Arabidopsis thaliana: one gene and its partner. The protein of the gene in region 1 interacts with the protein of each later gene in a pairwise test. Each region holds a gene or a part of one and is shown on either strand. Other genes may lie near its edges.

What was found.
Region 2: the proteins of AT5G05790 (region 1) and AT1G10820 interact in a two-hybrid assay, tested with the Arabidopsis thaliana proteins (one study listed by BioGRID).

The regions. Positions count from the first base shown.
Region 1 is NC_003076.8:1,738,630-1,745,878, forward strand, and holds AT5G05790 (Duplicated homeodomain-like superfamily protein), read right to left. Parts: upstream 3,558-7,249; 5' UTR 3,043-3,557; coding exon 2,627-3,042; intron 2,513-2,626; coding exon 2,095-2,512; 3' UTR 1,894-2,094; downstream 1-1,893. Other genes in the region: AT5G05800 (Myb/SANT-like DNA-binding domain protein), read right to left, coding at 4,605-5,159, 5,248-5,736, 5,817-6,122.
Region 2 is NC_003070.9:3,598,741-3,608,527, forward strand, and holds AT1G10820 (hypothetical protein (DUF3755)), read right to left. Parts: upstream 6,319-9,787; 5' UTR 6,049-6,318; intron 5,944-6,048; 5' UTR 5,911-5,943; coding exon 5,696-5,910; intron 5,282-5,695; coding exon 5,182-5,281; intron 4,316-5,181; coding exon 4,259-4,315; intron 3,720-4,258; coding exon 3,614-3,719; intron 3,511-3,613; coding exon 3,428-3,510; intron 3,238-3,427; coding exon 3,176-3,237; intron 3,070-3,175; coding exon 2,973-3,069; intron 2,754-2,972; coding exon 2,697-2,753; 3' UTR 2,170-2,696; downstream 1-2,169. Other genes in the region: AT1G10800 (voltage-gated hydrogen channel-like protein), read right to left, coding at 1-128; AT1G10810 (NAD(P)-linked oxidoreductase superfamily protein), read left to right, coding at 629-850, 937-1,137, 1,222-1,394, 1,484-1,586, 1,682-2,017; Z-ISO (15-cis-zeta-carotene isomerase), read right to left, coding at 6,996-7,331, 7,761-7,970, 8,075-8,221, 8,299-8,709; TIF3H1 (translation initiation factor 3 subunit H1), read right to left, coding at 9,145-9,202, 9,283-9,435, 9,621-9,688, 9,774-9,787.

The DNA.
Region 1 (7,249 bases):
CATTGACCACAACAAGGGTGTTACTTATGAATTTGTTTACTAGCAGAACTGAATAATTTGCATATTACCTAGATGTAAAAAGGAAGACTATACATTTTGATGAGCTTTTCTTTAAATTGAAAAGAAACAACAAGAAGAAAAAGTAAAGTGAAAAAGGATTATGGAGGAAAATAAAGTTAATAAATGGCGTAATGTTCGTGAAAAGGATATTTGATGCCAAAAGACAGAAACGAAAACAAGAACGTGCTTTGATACGCATTATGCTTCTTCTTTTTCTAAGTCTACTTCTTTTGAACACCTTCTTTTTCTATTGTGTATTATGTTAATCCTTGTTAAGGATACTCATTTTGCAAATCAATATATTACTGTCCTGTTTTACTTAGATATCTATAAGAAAAAAGTTTCAAAAATCGAAACCGTTATAATTTTGTGTAAACAAAATAAAAATCAAAATAACGTAGCTCACTACGAAAAGTAACAATGTAGTTGTATACTATACAGACGTGACGTAAGCATTCAAGAAGACGACTTTCATATTAGTATGTTAGTTAGTGGTTAGGTCGCATATCCCATTGAGGTGACCAAATCCATAGTGACGAAGTAACCAAAGTGATTAATTTATATAAAGAACGTTCTGAGTGTTACTAAATAGACATATATAGAAAGGTGTCAATACAAAAATTCTCAGTTTTATGATCCAAACATATTATAAGTTATACGGCTATTATTGATTGACCTTTCATTGGGTTCCATTCAAACGCCTCATCAAAAGTGGAGCCACGAAAAAAAAATAACAAATTGAATTGTGTGATGCCACTTTCGTTAAAAATATATATGGTTCATCATCTTCATCGATGAATGTCATAGGTGGTGTTAGAATTATATCGACTCCAACCGACCTACATTATTAAGTAGTATCTTAGGGTTTTATTCCCGCATGCAAAAAATAAATAAGGTTCGGATGCTCTTAAAGTGACTATATATAGTATATACTATTCACTATTACTGATCAAATCAAATTAATATATGGAGATAGAGTAATCATATTACGTAGTTAGTAGTTACTTACTGTTCGTGATTAAAAAGTGAGCTTTTCTTTTATATTCTCAAATTTTTTAATTAGAAAACTAAAAGCTTTCAAATTTATAACAAAGCGATTCAATATAACTTCTCTTTATTTGCACAAAAATAAGTATCTTTAACGATTCGTTCATCCAATGAAATTTCCTAAATCACTTTTGTTTATGTTTTTTAATAAATTCCAACTTGACTTCTTTCACAAAAAGAAGGGAAAAAACAAAGCATTATATATTCCTTCTGATATGAAAGAAAACATATATCACATTTTCTAGCTCTTTATTAAATTAACTAAAAGAAATACGGAAAAAAAAAAACATTCTTAAAATAATTTTAAAACAGGAGCTTGTATATATGTTCCACTTGTACTAAACTGCTATTTTTGTTTGTAAAGAGTAATAATATATCCAAGGACACCCTTAATTTATTTATAAACTTAACAAAATTGAGGGAGCAAAGGGTTGGTGTAATAGGTGAAAAGAATGTGATTCTGTGTGCCGAAAGTGGAATGCAGACTCAGCTTCTAATTATATACCGTTTACAAGTTAGTGGTCAGCTTTGCCACCCATACACACACATACAAATATATCCAACCCTCACTTTTTAATTCCTTTTTCTTACATAAAATTCTATACATTCTTTTTGCTAAAGACAATTTCTTACCTTAGAAAACAGTATTTGTGTATAGTTCTGTGATGAATCATTTTAAGAAAATATAAAACGTAAATGAGTAATGTTATACTAATTTATCTACTATCATCGATCAAATGTTCAGGTTTAGAGACAATTTTCCAAGAAAATGACTGACCGTTAAAGTTGCAAGTAAAGCCATAAACCCGGTACTTGGTCCTTTTCACCATTATTGATAGTTTTGGCAAAGAGACATATATACTAGCTAATATATGTTTATTCCATAAATACAAGACATACATATTCACATTCCTCTAATAATGTAACATAACTTTTTAAATAAAACATAATTATGGTTTCGTTGCAATAGTTAAAATTTCAAAATTCTCATTTTCTCGTTTCAAGATCTTGTGAGATACAGTAACCTCCTTCACCGTAAACATTTGCTCCGGAAAACTTAATGGCAGGATCGTAGGAAGAGAAGACCGAGGATAGATTCTGACCAAGAAACATAACTCCCTCCTCTGCATTATCCCTGTCGGTGAACCCTAGTTTCGGCTCGGCCTGTTTTGAGACTAAGCAACCGTGATCAGACGATGGACGGCTAAGATTGGCATTGAGAAGATTGACGGTGGTGATGTCGTGAATGCTAGGCCGTCGTTTGTCTTTCGCACCGGAAAGCTGTCTTTGGTAGTACTTTTGGGCATGACTTGCAACCTGAGTTGGTGTTTTTGATCCCACAAAGTTCCTCGATATGTTTCTCCAATCTCCTTTCCCATACTTGAGAAGCCCTAACAAGAATCTCCTGCAGAAAACAATTAAACAAGGTCTCAGCAAACCAAGAAAACAAAGTAACTTGCAACTCAAGACACCAAAGAAGAGTGAAACAAGGATCACAAAGATTGAAAACTTTGTTCACCTGTGTTCTTCCTCCGTCCATGGAACTCCTTTCCTACGGTCTTGATCAAATCCTCTGGCTCCATTAGGAAGTTTACGATACGCATCAAAGTCACGTGGACTCACAACCTGATCAAATCCACAAGGAGTAACTGAACGGTAACCCGGGATCGGGACAAGTCCTGCTTCGATATCGAAGAGGTCTTCTTCAAGCTTAGAGTATTGCCTCATGACATCTGATATGGTCTTTCCAGGGATCATAGCAGCAACTTTGAACCAGCGATCAGGCGTGTCATCAGCGTAGACAGCAAGAGCTCGCTCAAACTTCTTGTTCTCTTCTTTAGTCCAGCTCGAGCTTTGCAAGCACATCATCTCTTGAACTACAAACCGGTGGTCAGAAGTTGGCACGTGCGAGAGTAGTGGATGCAGAGTCTCCATCGTTTAAAGGCTACGAGATAAAAGTTCTACCTATAAAATAAAGTACTTAATATTTTTCCTCTAATTCTTGGAAGCTTGATTTGTGGGTTTAGTAAAAGACTGAAGCTTCTTATAGGATCTAAAGATATATAGGAATCAAACTGGGAAAACTAACGAATAGTTTAATGATGGAATCAAAGAACCTGATTTAGTGAGAGATTATAGCGTATATTAATTGAAGAATCTGGAAAGAAACACAAAAGACTAAGACTTTGAAGAATCCTTGAGAATCTGCAAAAGTGGGTCGTCAAAGTAATACAAAACAGGCAAAACTCAGATGGTAGAGAGAGATAATCAGTAAGATAGATAGGGAGAGATTGTGAAGCAAAGGGAGAGAAGAAGAAGGTATTTGTGGTTTGTGTTATAAAGAGAAAGAGAGAGTGTAAAAGTTTTAGCCAATGGAACCACTCCACTCCCCTACTTGGCTTCATTTTATTCCAAAGAGGATTCTTCACAATGACACGAATTCTAAAAATAACAATAAACTTCAATTATAAAATTCTAACTAGCTACTAGCTAGGCCAACATTTCATATCTTTCCAAAATTTTAATAACCACTAGTATACACCGTTTTTTTTTGTTAGGTAGTTTTTCTCTAATATTATTCAAAATAAAAGCGACAACACATAAAGTTGTTCATACTTAATGATAGTTTACGTGTTATACGTCGGCTATGTCTAAGGCTTAACTAATCATAAAACACACATAAAATAAGGAGAAAAACTTCAAATTTACTAAAAAAAACCAAAAACAATGCGATTGCTTTACTTAACAAAAACAATGCGATTGCTACAAATTGTTTATAGATGTAACTTAATTAATGTTATTCGAGATAACACGTAAGCTTAAACTTAACGACACTTTATTCTTTATGTCTTTTTTTGTATTTCGTACCACTTGAAAATGATACTTCTACGAAATTTCATAAGCCGCCACAAAAACAAGATTGAAAAAGAAAGAATAAATATAATAAATGCAGAAGCGCCTGTAGCTCAGTGGATAGAGCGTCTGTTTCCTAAGCAGAAGGTCGTAGGTTCGACCCCTACCTGGCGCGTTAATTTTAGTTTCTTACTTTTTAGAAAATTACTCCTTAACCTTAAAGGGGTAATTAATTATTGGGATGCGACTAAACCTTTTTTTGCCCACTTTGGGTACTGTTTTTTGTCGTCACTCGCTTTATCTACTTTTTAATTCAAAAAAGATTCTAATCATCAACTCTCACTCAAAAGCCCCTTTCACACACTCCATTGTTGTCGGTGTCCCAAACCTTGTTCTGCTCTCTCGTAATATGCATAGAACTAAATGCTAAATATCTTCTCCTAATGAATGAAAGTGAGAACAATTCTAACACAAACCACTTAAGAATTAGGCAATTCAAAGGTTCATCAACATGATTCTCTACCTGTCTGTTTTTATATAATCCATATTCATAGAACTAACAAAGAACGATTCTTTTGGGTATAACATCAGACAGAGACAGAGGTCAGAGTACAAAAAGGATGGCTTGTAAAATACACTTGAACCTATGTTGTAGTAGGAATAGGAAATGAAGTAGATTGAAGTCTCTGCAACCATGCGATTCTCAAACTGGGCTTCTTCAGCTCTAAGAAGATCTCTCTATACTCTCTCTTCAGAAACAGGTCCAACGCAAACATGTAGAGCTCACTACCTTGTTCGACCTCTTCAATTGCGTTGAGGCTTTTAATGCATTCTCCAATGCTGTACATCGGCTTTGCCGATTCAATCTCAACGAATACCGGACTTTCCTGCAACATAACGTCATTCATTAACTTCATATCATCCAATGGTTGAGCGTTTTCACTGTCTATCCGATCTTCTTGAGACTCTGCATAACAACCATTTTGCCTGGAGGTTTCTGCTTCATCTACGTGCATCTTTGATAATGGAGTTGTGTCACGCCATTGTGGTGATTCAGAACGATTGTGGAGGAGCTTCTTGCGCGAACGCGAAGGAGGAGTGTATGTCTCTCCAGGTTCTATCACTCCGTTGAAAATGATTGCAAGTTGATCAGCATGAGGAACTTCCTTGTGGCGGAATTGTCCTGCTCTTGGGTTTTCCTGTAATAAACCAAAGACAAACACTATCTGTTCAAAATGTAGTCCAATGGGAGAAGGATAATAGTTAAGACAACTAACATTATCATACCCGAATATAGATTCGCCATTCCTCTTCTGTTGCACCAAAGCTACGAGATTCAGGATCCCATTTCATGCTACTTGCTCCAACGAGTTGACACCAGATCTTCCAAGCTTTCCTAGTGCAATCCCAGTGGTTTTTCAGCTGCGGTCTCGTATAACCAAGGCCGGTATTTTCATTAATAGTCCCCAGAATCGTCTTCCACCCTTCCTTGTTAAAATGAGTGTCGGGTCTATTTCCCTTTAAAGTCTCTTGAACCAACAGATCAAGAAACAGCTTATGTGTAGACGGAGACCAATACCCTTTTGTTTGAGGGTTAGATGAACTACACATGCTTTGGTTATCTTCATCTTCTTCCTCGTAACAACTTCTTCGCCTCTTCCTTACACCCGAGACTTCATCATTTTTCACCTCTACATTACAACCCGCAAAGAGAATCTCTAGCTTCTTGAGATCATGCGGAACACTCAACCGATACTGCCCAGCATCAGGATTCTCCTACGGCACAAAGCAATCACATTTTAGCATTTTATAAAATCAACAAAAATGAATGTAACAAGTGGTTTTGATTTGTAAACCTGTAAATAGTTAGCCCAGTCATCATCAGTTGCACGAAACCTGTTGCTCTCAGGGTTCCAATTCATAAAACTAGTTTCAACGAGTCTACGCCATATTTTCCACTGTCTGCTCATTGTATCCCAATGGTTCTTAAGCTGCATTCTATCGTACATGGCGCCTGTTTGCTCCTGAAACGATATCAATATGTTCCTCCAACCTTCTTTCGAAAAATGTGTCCCTGGTTTATTCCCTAGCATCGTTTGCTCCACACATAAATCAACAAACACTCTGTGATACTCAGGCTCCCACACTGCTTTTGGCCTCATTTCTTTTTTAACTTCTGTTCTCCAAAACTCCTAACAATTAAAAACGATACCTTTATCATTGTGAACTCGTTTTTAACAAAAGCACAGAGAGACAGAGACATTTGCATAAACATTAACCCAACAATTCTAGATATTGAACACAAATCATATAAACAAGGCATTGAACCAGAGAACGCAGACGCAATTACTTGAAACGTGTTTCAGGGAAAAATATGATTTTGCGACCTGAGACTTCGCCTACTTCAAAATCCCAGTAGTAACCGAACACGAAAATGGGGAAAATTGCACGAAACCCTAACTCGATTAATCGGGAGACTGAAAAACTACGATAGTGGTTAGGATTTCGCCGGCGGGAATTGGGAAGCTGAAGAAGGGAAAACGTTACCGGGAATCTGATGGAAACGCGACAGCGATTGAGTGGCCACTCTGTGACGGGTGTGGCTGGAAGAAGCCGATCGCGATTTTTCCTCTCTTTCTCTGCTTTTTGCGTTTGCGCCGCGCTGTACGGATTTTCCAAGGCTTTTCTAAGAGTTATGGGCTGGGCCGAGTTCTTTGGTCATGGGTCATAGCCCAATAAATTACACCGGTTCTTGCCTGACTATTTGTTTCCGTTTGAAGAGATACTCTGATTGGTTAAGAGGACACAGACTGTGAGACTGGTTTGCGTTGGGTCCGGTCTTGATTTTGTTCAAATTTCTGCTCGACTTAGATGTTTTTTTTGCTTTCTTATCGAAACATTTTTATAGCTGATTATGTGAAGGAGTTAGGAGAATTGAATATGGGTTTATCGAAAAGGTGATTATTGTTCCAATCAAATATATTTAGGTGACTATCGGCATCATTGATAAGTATAGATATAGTTTGTGGGGGAGGGTGACCACGATTACCAAAATTAATAGGGGACTCCAGCAATAAGATTTGCTTTAAATGGTGCCGACCAAATAATAAATAACATTTGCTTTAAATGGGCCGTAACGTATAAATCCAGATACAAAAATAATGGAAATTAGTCCAAAATTTAAGAAATAATGGTACAGAAATAGCTAGCTAGCTCCAGCTCCCCCAAATCGTCACTAGGGAACAAACTGCTTTCTACTCGTTTTTTTTTATGATTTCTTTTGCTTATT
Region 2 (9,787 bases), on another chromosome or scaffold:
TCTTCTTGTTGTTGTTTTGGGGAGAAGTTGCAGAGTTGCCTCCATTTCCGTCGTCTGCACCAACTCTTGATTAGGTTTTGGATCGAGAATTCGACATTATCAACTGTTCCGGTGTTGATGATGTTCATCAAAAGATGAAAAGTTTTGGAAGTTGTTGATAGATGATGATATGAGCTTTAAAGGAAGGCAACCATTTTAAACAGTTTTAGGAAATTAATTATTTTTGGAAAGATGGCTTGAAAGGCAAGTAAGGTTGAGATATGATACAAGCTTTATTTATTTCTTAAGTGAAGAAACACACTTGCCAAATCTGAAAGACAATCCTATTAACACAATTTGAAGATAAAAATTCAAACTACAAATGACCAACAGATTTTCAATTAAAAGTTACATATATCAAAAATACTGCAAATAACGTAAAGTTTATTACAAGACTATTCCGTCTTTGACGCCATGAATGCAGAGAGAATTCATTATTATTAGTTCAACGTGGACAACTTTATTTTGAGCCTTTTTTCTCAAGACTTCCATTTCGTTGTTGCATTGACTATGATAGCAAATTAGATCTCTCTTTTACTGATTGCAAAAGTGTGAGAATTTTTTTAAAAACTTGGAGAGATTTGAATCCATGGCAGCTGCAAGTGGAGTGCGTAGGATCAAGCTAGGAAGCCAAGGTCTTGAAGTGTCAGCGCAAGGTCTTGGTTGTATGGGACTTTCCATCTTCGATGGAACTACCAAGGTTGAGACAGATCTCATTGCTCTCATTCACCATGCCATTAACTCCGGCATCACACTCCTCGACACCTCCGACATTTACGGTCCTGAGACCAACGAGTTGCTCCTTGGTCAGGTTTGAATTCGAGATATCCTATGTTTGTTCATACACTATTGAGTTGCCTAGGATTTGAAATTGCTTGGCTATGTGAATGTAATCAGGCTTTGAAAGATGGGATGAGGGAGAAGGTGGAATTGGCAACCAAATTTGGGCTTCTCTTGAAAGATCAGAAATTGGGTTACAGGGGAGATCCAGCCTATGTGAGAGCTGCCTGTGAAGCAAGCTTAAGGCGTTTAGGAGTTAGCTGCATAGATCTTTATTACCAGCATAGGATCGATACCACTGTCCCCATTGAAGTCACTGTAAGCTTTTTCTTGGCAATCTTTCTTCTTTCTTGAATCCTTCAGCTGATTGTTATGGTGTTGTCTTGTCCTGCCATTTCAAAGATTGGAGAACTGAAGAAGCTAGTTGAAGAGGGTAAGATAAAGTACATTGGTTTGTCTGAAGCCTGTGCCTCGACTATAAGAAGAGCCCATGCTGTTCACCCGCTAACCGCTGTGCAGTTGGAATGGTCTTTATGGTCGAGAGACGTTGAAGAAGACATCATTCCTACTTGCAGGTGCAGAATCTTCCGCAAACATCCCTCTTCCTTGATATAATTTTATATCCTCCTCTTGTAATGTTCATTCTTTGCATTACTTTCTCCAGGGAGCTCGGGATTGGAATTGTAGCTTACAGTCCTCTGGGACTGGGGTTCTTTGCTGCAGGACCAAAATTCATTGAGAGTATGGACAATGGTGACTACAGAAAGGCAAGTCCATCACTATATGAATGTTCACCATCTCTTTTAAGTACATTCAAGAAAAGAGCCGAGTATTAAGCACATTCACCATCTCTTAATTTCAGGGTTTACCGAGATTCCAGCAAGAGAACTTAGACCACAACAAGATTCTCTATGAGAAGGTCAATGCAATGGCAGAGAAGAAAAGCTGTACTCCTGCACAATTAGCTTTGGCATGGGTTCATCACCAAGGAAATGATGTCTGCCCAATCCCAGGAACCTCTAAGATCAAAAACCTTAATCAGAACATAGGAGCTTTATCTGTGAAACTCAGTATCGAAGAGATGGCCGAGCTTGACGCCATGGGACATCCCGATTCTGTGAAAGGGGAAAGGTCAGCCACCTATATAGTTACTTACAAGAATTCTGAAACTCCACCACTGTCTTCTTGGACTTCATAAACCATCTGTAATAGTTTTACTCTGCCATCGTGCTGAGCTATGTTCTGAACTACTTTTCATCATCGTCTTTAAGCTACATTATTGTTTGTCTGTTTCTGTCTGAAATTAATGAAACTTTTTAAAAGTAAATCTCTAATAAGGACTGAAGATTCTGCAAACATTATAACAATGAATTGAGACAGGTGACAATGCGTATATACAATGATTTGTGTCACATCACGACTTAAACCATGAAGATAACGTATACGTACCTAGAGGATGATAAATTATTACCTTAACTAGAACTTGTGTTACACATAACCGGCCTCTGAATACCACTCAAAAGAACTGTCACTATACTAATTTAAGCCTCAACAAGAAGATTACAGCAAAAGACTTTTGAGTTCTATCAACCTATGCCGTCTTCTACGAATTGCAAGGAATCCTATGATCGAATTACGGCCAAAGCATTTTGTTCGTATCAAAGAGTTTTACCTTGGCTTTAGAAGGAGTCTAATTCATTCTTCTCTGTCAAATTACCCGAGGGCAAAAGGATTTTACCAATACTGATTGTTGAATCTCATGTTCTGAAGCGGTGTCTGCAGTTGATAAACATTGCCATGTCGTCCACGGAAATACTGCCACGTACCAGGCTCTTGTACTATTTACTTTAGTATCGGTCAAAATCCGGATTTCCCCATCAACTTCTTGGCTCTTGCTTCAGGTGGATGCTTGGTGGAATGTTGTACGATATTGGCTGTGAGACAGGGAAACAATCCACTAAACATCAGGCATGGCCAGCTTCCAAGAGAAATCCTCAAGAGATCAATAAAACTAAAAAACATTAATGGTTTCTATGTTCATATTTATATCTTAATATGTTTCACTTTTTGGGTCAAGAAGCTCTAATTATTTGAGGTCACATGGCGAACTTTTCAGGATTAGCTATTTTGACATATGTAGCAAAATATATTACCTGTGTTGTACTCGACAATAGATTGCTTGCAAGATCATCATTAATTGAAACCGGTAGAGCCGGCATCCGACTCATGATTCCAGGCATCTCCTTCATGCTGCAGAAGAAACTAAGAATTTAGCAATTGAAGGTTTAAATTATAGAAAGGAAGACAGATGAGATGTCTCAATTGTGAAAATTGAATTAGTATTAGATCCACATACTCAGTCAAAATGGCGCTGATATTGTTTCTTGCCTGATGAAAGAGACTGATGTTATCCTGCAGCTGTATGCACTAAGTTAGCATATCTATGTGCGAATTACTTTGCAAAAGGAAACAGTATCAAATTATTTTCTAAAGAATAACTGAGCATGTAGGAAATCTGGTATACAATGTTTGATCAAACTTGTATGACAGTTTCAGTCTGTCAATCTTCTCGCACAACTAGCCACAAAGGATTGCAAGTATAAATTACCTTGCACGCAGAGAGGTTGTAAGAAATCTGACTAAAAGCTTGAGCATTTTGCTGTAGAAGATCCATTACTGCGTCACTTAAACCTGCGAATAGTTCAACAAAAGTACCTAGCTGACAATTTGATTTTGTTTATTTTTAAGACCACACAACCCAGAAGAAGAGCAAAGAATTAAAAGAGCACTAGACCTTCGAAAGGCGTGCGTGTACTGTGGCACATATTGTTCAGGACATATAAAGCATTTTGTTGTGGCACATTGGATAGCATGTTCAGTTCTGGGGATGTATCCACCACCTTACCATGAAGAAGCATGGTCTTTAGAACCAAGTTTAAAAGCATATTGATCTACAGAAGTTCATAAGACCCAGGAAGGAGAATGTGCATGAAATGAAACACACACACTAACCCTTTATCAAATGTCATAACAATCACTAGATTACCTTATAATTATCATTATAAACATGCCCACAAGCTCAGATACTCATAAGTAATATATGCTAATACTTCTGCAGAGTTGGATCAACATCATTTGCTGCTCGTCAGTCATTGAAAAATCGATCACAAACTTTATTGATTGTCCAGTCATGCAGACAGTCCTTTTTCTTAGTCAGGAACTAACAAAATATGTTCTCATGAAAAGTCCACCATACAAGCAATTTAGCCAATTACAGTTTCTTCGTTGAAAAATACCATCGTTAGCTCAGACTTGCATGAATAAAAGTCACATCTGTGGGAAAATCCCGTTTAACCCAAAACGTAAATGAGGCACCTACCTCCATCGACTTATTAACTGGTAAATACGACACAAGAAAGGTTGAGGTGGGCAAGCATACCTTCCTAGTGCTAATGTTCTTAGCGGCATTATTATCCTCTCGTTTCCTCCGTTTTCTCTGTGAAAATAGATACCCGACTTAGCCAAGAGAACTTTAAAGACCATGATAGATATCTGGTGGCAAACAAGCACTAAATTAAAAGAAAACGGAGTAATTTTGCAGCTTTATGTTTGATTACATCATATATCTGATTGAAAACTCAAGTCAATTATGAAAGGACAGAGACATGAAGGAGATGGAAATATGATGATAATAAAGCATTGTACATTTGTACTTCATTAATTCATTTCATTATTATGCAAACAATTAACATTATGATGTATGTAAACTCATGCTGCGAGCAATATAATCATTTTAAAAAAAAAACCATAAAAGTATAGGGATCAGTCTCAGCCATCACCCGTAAAAGTAAAATCTATGTGAGGATAACTACAGAAATAATTAACAAAAAGCGTTAGGCTTATTTCCTTTTCCAATAATTCCTCCACAATCATGGACTCGAAAGCTAATATAAAGACTAATCTAGCGTCAGCAATACTTGTCATTTTCTCTTTTTGCTCGTCCTTTACCAGTGTTTAGACAATCTTTACGACATGTCAATGACTTTTCATCAATAAAACCGCTAGCTTTTTTTGTAGGACTTTATCTTTATCACAAAGCACACACGCAAGATTGCATCATCATGCTGATTCCCTCATATTTAGCATATGCTTTTAACAGTGACAGAAATATCCTTCAACAAAAATCCTTCCATAACAGCCACATACCACTTGAAAAGGAATGCTAGAGACAACTAAGTAATTCCCTAGCAAAAGAAATATCCTTGAGAGACGTCTAGAGTGGTAATTTTTCTTGTCATCTAAGCAAAAGCACATAAACAACAGGAAGTATGCACATAGCTCAAGGAAGCTTAACCAACTTACCGTCATCCATCTACACCTCAATGCTACATCCCTTACAGTTTTATCCGGTAGAGTTGCAGCGATCTTTACATACTTTGAAATTTTGGGTTCATCTTTTAATCTACAAACGGAAAAAAAATAAAGATGTCATAAATGCAAACAAATAGAACAAACAAGCTACAGACTCTAGAAAACCAAAGTAACCAGGAACAACCTCAGCTAGAAAATCGATAACTTAACCCGAACTTACTAATGGTCCCAGTCCCAGAAAACAATGTCATGGAACACACAAAGGCGATACTTTTATAATCAGAAGGAACAAAGGAACATACTTTAATAGTCCACCATTGAGAATATAATGTTCCCACTACTACTTTTCTGATAAAACAATTCCCGATTTCAACTTTTATGTATTGTTATTGTAAAAATATAAGCATAGTTTGAAAAGCTACGAATGAACAAAGACACATTTAGGATATTAAAAAAATAAGAAATGGAAATATCCAAAGAATTAAGCAGAAACGAAGATACCTACTTTGCAAGGCCGTTCTCCAAAACATACTGTTCCTCAACGGACCAATCCATAACCAAAGCAGCTTCTTGTTTGACTCCTGCAGCCACTGAACCCGAAGCATCCACAGCTGGGTGAAAACCGGAGGAAGCGTTAATCGCATTAACACCGTAATTGGTCGGGAATACAAGACCGGTGGTGCTAGTACTTGGCAAGCAGTGATTATCCATTGGAATCATTCGTGGAGATTTGATAATTGAAGCTGATTTGAGCTACGATGATGCCCCCAAAGATATCAAATTTAGGGTTTTAGCAAATCCAGAAACAAATAAATGAAACAAAACACAGCTGAAAGAATAAAAAGATGAGAAACCCACCTCAGATTTGGCATCAACAAAGAAGATAGAGTAAAACTTTAATCAGGGGCAGTGATGGTAATTAGGGATGTGACCGACAAGAGAGAACGCAAGCAAACACCTCCGAGCAGTAGAACTGAAGATTATAAAGGATGTGATGTGAGAAGAAGATCGATCAGAGAGTGGCAGCTAATTGCGAACTCCAATGGGAGAAAATCGAGAGAGAGAGAGAGAGAAAGAATGAAAGAGAGAGTGTGTTTGTTTAGTAGTAATTGGCTGTGTTGTTTGTTTCTTGCAGAACCTCTTTGTTGTATTCATACTCCTTTGCTTTCTTTTCTTTTGGCCTCTTTTTTTTTTTTTTTTTTTTTTTTTGCCTCCAATTCCTTTTTTTCCATATTCTTCTTGGTAATAAAATTTTTATAACTAGCGAATTAAAATTGTATTGTTAATTTTTAATTTTAGTTAACAATTAATCACTTGCCTTTAAGTTTATCTTTAGAGTTTAGAGATATCAAGGCATCAATATGTAGATATCAATCTAGATTTGGATGGAGATCTTGGCATATTATTAATATTAGTTAAAATTTAGATTCATTTTCCGATTGTAACTAAACATCGAAAAAAGAAAAATTTACTTCTATTAGTATAGTGGTAGGCGTCAGAGTGACCCATGACATCTGAGTGGGAATTTATATACAAAATAGTTTTACCTAAATATTCATTTAGCAGTACTATTAAACATTCCTAGTTAATACTAATCTAAACCCACTTGTTGGATCGAACTCACACATAGTGGTTACAGAGTGTTGAGCCAAAATAATCGAGAAATGAAGAAGAGTCAAGTATCACAAACAATATGGCTTTTTGTATACATTTGTTCCTTAACAAGTCTTTATGAACACTGCAGGAAACAAACAAACATAAATGACATATAATTTACCAATGAAGCCTAAAGCATGACATATAATTTACCAATGAAGCCTAAAGCTTGCACCTTGCATTAGCGGGTGAGCAAAATATGCCCCAACCGTTAACGCAGTGATTGCAAGATATGGCAACCTGACAAATTCTTTGTAGTAATCCTCAGGTAAAACTTGCCGTCCTTCGAAAATGGCAGCAAATGGAATCACACTTGTTCTCTTCTTGATGCTTTCAAAATCCTCTCCATATCTTTTTGCCAATCTCCTGTCTCCATTCCACGCCCCAAACAAATGGTGTGCAATCAAACCGAGAGAAGCTGATGCAGCTACTGTGTTTCCGATCCAGAGAGTATGTGCTAAACACCAAACGATTTGTCCAACCATCTGGAGAAGATCAGAGGAGAGAGGTGCAACAATCAAGTCTCATTAACAAAGCCAGTATAATGAAGAGAGAATAGAACAAACCAAAACTGAAGCTAAAATGCCTATCTTTCTATATATTATCAAGTTTTTCCAAACACATGATGAAGCAATTGGATAAGAATTTTAAGATCAAAAGCAATATCAAGTAAAGTAATCAAGCATTGATGTAATAAACATAGAAGGATGAGGAGATTTGATTGTGCTGATGTAATGGGTGTATTTAAGTCAATGGCCAATACCTGCCCATAATTGATTCAATGATTGGGGGTCTCATTAACACAGCCACTAATAAACCTTGGCTCATAAAAATCCAATCTTTCTGTATTTTTGAAACACAAAAATGAAGGAAATTGTCTTCATGTTTAGGCACATTAGGGAAATGTTCAAAACCTGAGGATGTCGAGTGATTCTCATGATGCCGGTCTCCCAGAGATGCATCTTCGGTTTGTCAACAGCTGCTACCTCCAGAAGATTGAAGGTTGAAGGATAGAGAAAGAAGAAGGATACAAAATTAGCGACCCAAATAGCTTCATGGACTCCAGGAACACCCTGAAGCTGCCATAACTGTGACCCATCATATCTATGGTTTATAAAGTAAACCTGAAAGAAGAACAAGGCATTGCATAGACCATAAGAGACATCAAACAGGTATTTATACCATTGATCAGGAGAAAAATTGCAGAGTTAGAAGAGAGAGTACTCACAATGGTGCTCATAGCTAAAGGAAGAGAGATTCCAGCAAACAAAACACGAAATGCTCGTTCACCTATAAGTTTCTCTCCTATATCCCTTAGACTAGCTAAACCACTATGTACAATTGCAAATATAAGGATAAGCATTAACATAGCAACCTGCAAAAACAAGTGGTTTTTAACAATCAAATAACTGAAATTGAAACTGGTTCAGTTACTGTTAAATTGATCTATACCTCCGGTGAGCCGGAGATGTTAGAGACGGCGTCGATGAATGATTTTCCGAAACCGGTGGAATTATCGATCCAAACAACATTGAGGATAAAGAGAACAACTCCAAGGACAACACCGAAATAAACCCAGGAAACAAGCTTCTGTTTCCCTAATTCAAAAGCAGCAGAATCTTCACCGATCAGTAGAGTAGGACTACTCTCGGAGTCAGAGGCGATGGGTTGGTCTTCCCGGAGAGTGCTACGAACCAGAATTTTCCGAATTACCGGTGACGAAGAAGAAAGCAAGCTGGTCGAGTTTCCGAGGCGAGGATGAGCTGGGATACGGCGGATTAAGGTGAGGTTAGGGCGGCGAGGAGAAGGAGGGAGAAGAAGAAGCGAAGGTGGGCTCGAGAGAAGGAGATGATAAACCGCCATTGTTCTTGTTGGTAAACAATCTTTCGAAGAGGAAGTAATAAAAAGATGTCGTTTTTAAATTTCTTCAAACAATCGTCCGAAGAAGAAATAATAAACGTTGTCGTTCAAGGGATTTAGCGATGGAACTAACACTACAACTATAATAAAATCTCTATAAATTAGATTTTTTACTCTTTTGATTAGGATTTTGATAACTATGTATAATTTGTTGTAAGGCAATCAGAGGTCCAATACAAGATAAATCTTTCAAAACTTCAATAATTTTTCATTATGCATAAGAATAAAGATTTTTTTTGAAAAGCTTGTAAATTAAATTACTTCACAACAACAAAAATAAAAACAAAAACATCCACGAAAAACAAATATAGGATCCATTCTACCACCAAGTCTTTCACTTTCTGACTCAAAAAACAAAAACTTGGGTAGTCTTTGCAATCAGTTGTCGTGCAATGCTTTGGTCAGGTAAAGCCTGCTGAAGTTCTGGCCAGCCACTCTGCATAACAACAGGTCGACTCATTTTAAGTATCTTTCAAAGCTCCAAAAATGGTGAAACAATACTAAAGAGGAACATACCCATTGATTTGGCCACAGAAGTTTGAGACTTGGTTTGTGATGAGGAAACTCTCTAGCCTAGATGGTTCAGGGATCGCCTTAAAGATTGGGTTTGAAGGATCCTCTTCTGGTAAAGGCTCCTCTCCAGCTGATTTACGAGCCATGTTCTCCGTTCTATAAACCAAACACCTCTTTCATTAGTTGGAAGATCAAAAGGACAAGGAAAAGCTGAAGACAAATGTTACAAGGCATTCACAACTCTCGTAAGTAAAGTTGTATCACCTTCCAAGATAACGAGGTAGTGAAACTAATCAAACCTGAACTAGAACAAAAAGGTTCTGCAGAAAATATAAACCTACCTTCTCTTCTGGAGCCAGGCTTGCTGTTGTGCTTGCTGACGAGACAGGTTCCGGTAGTAATACTGGAACTGGAGAAATAAATTAAGATTTTGCGTTAAGATAGTTCGGACTTCTGATGATGAGAATTGAACAAGAGTGCAGAAGAAACCACACCTTTTGCTGTTCCA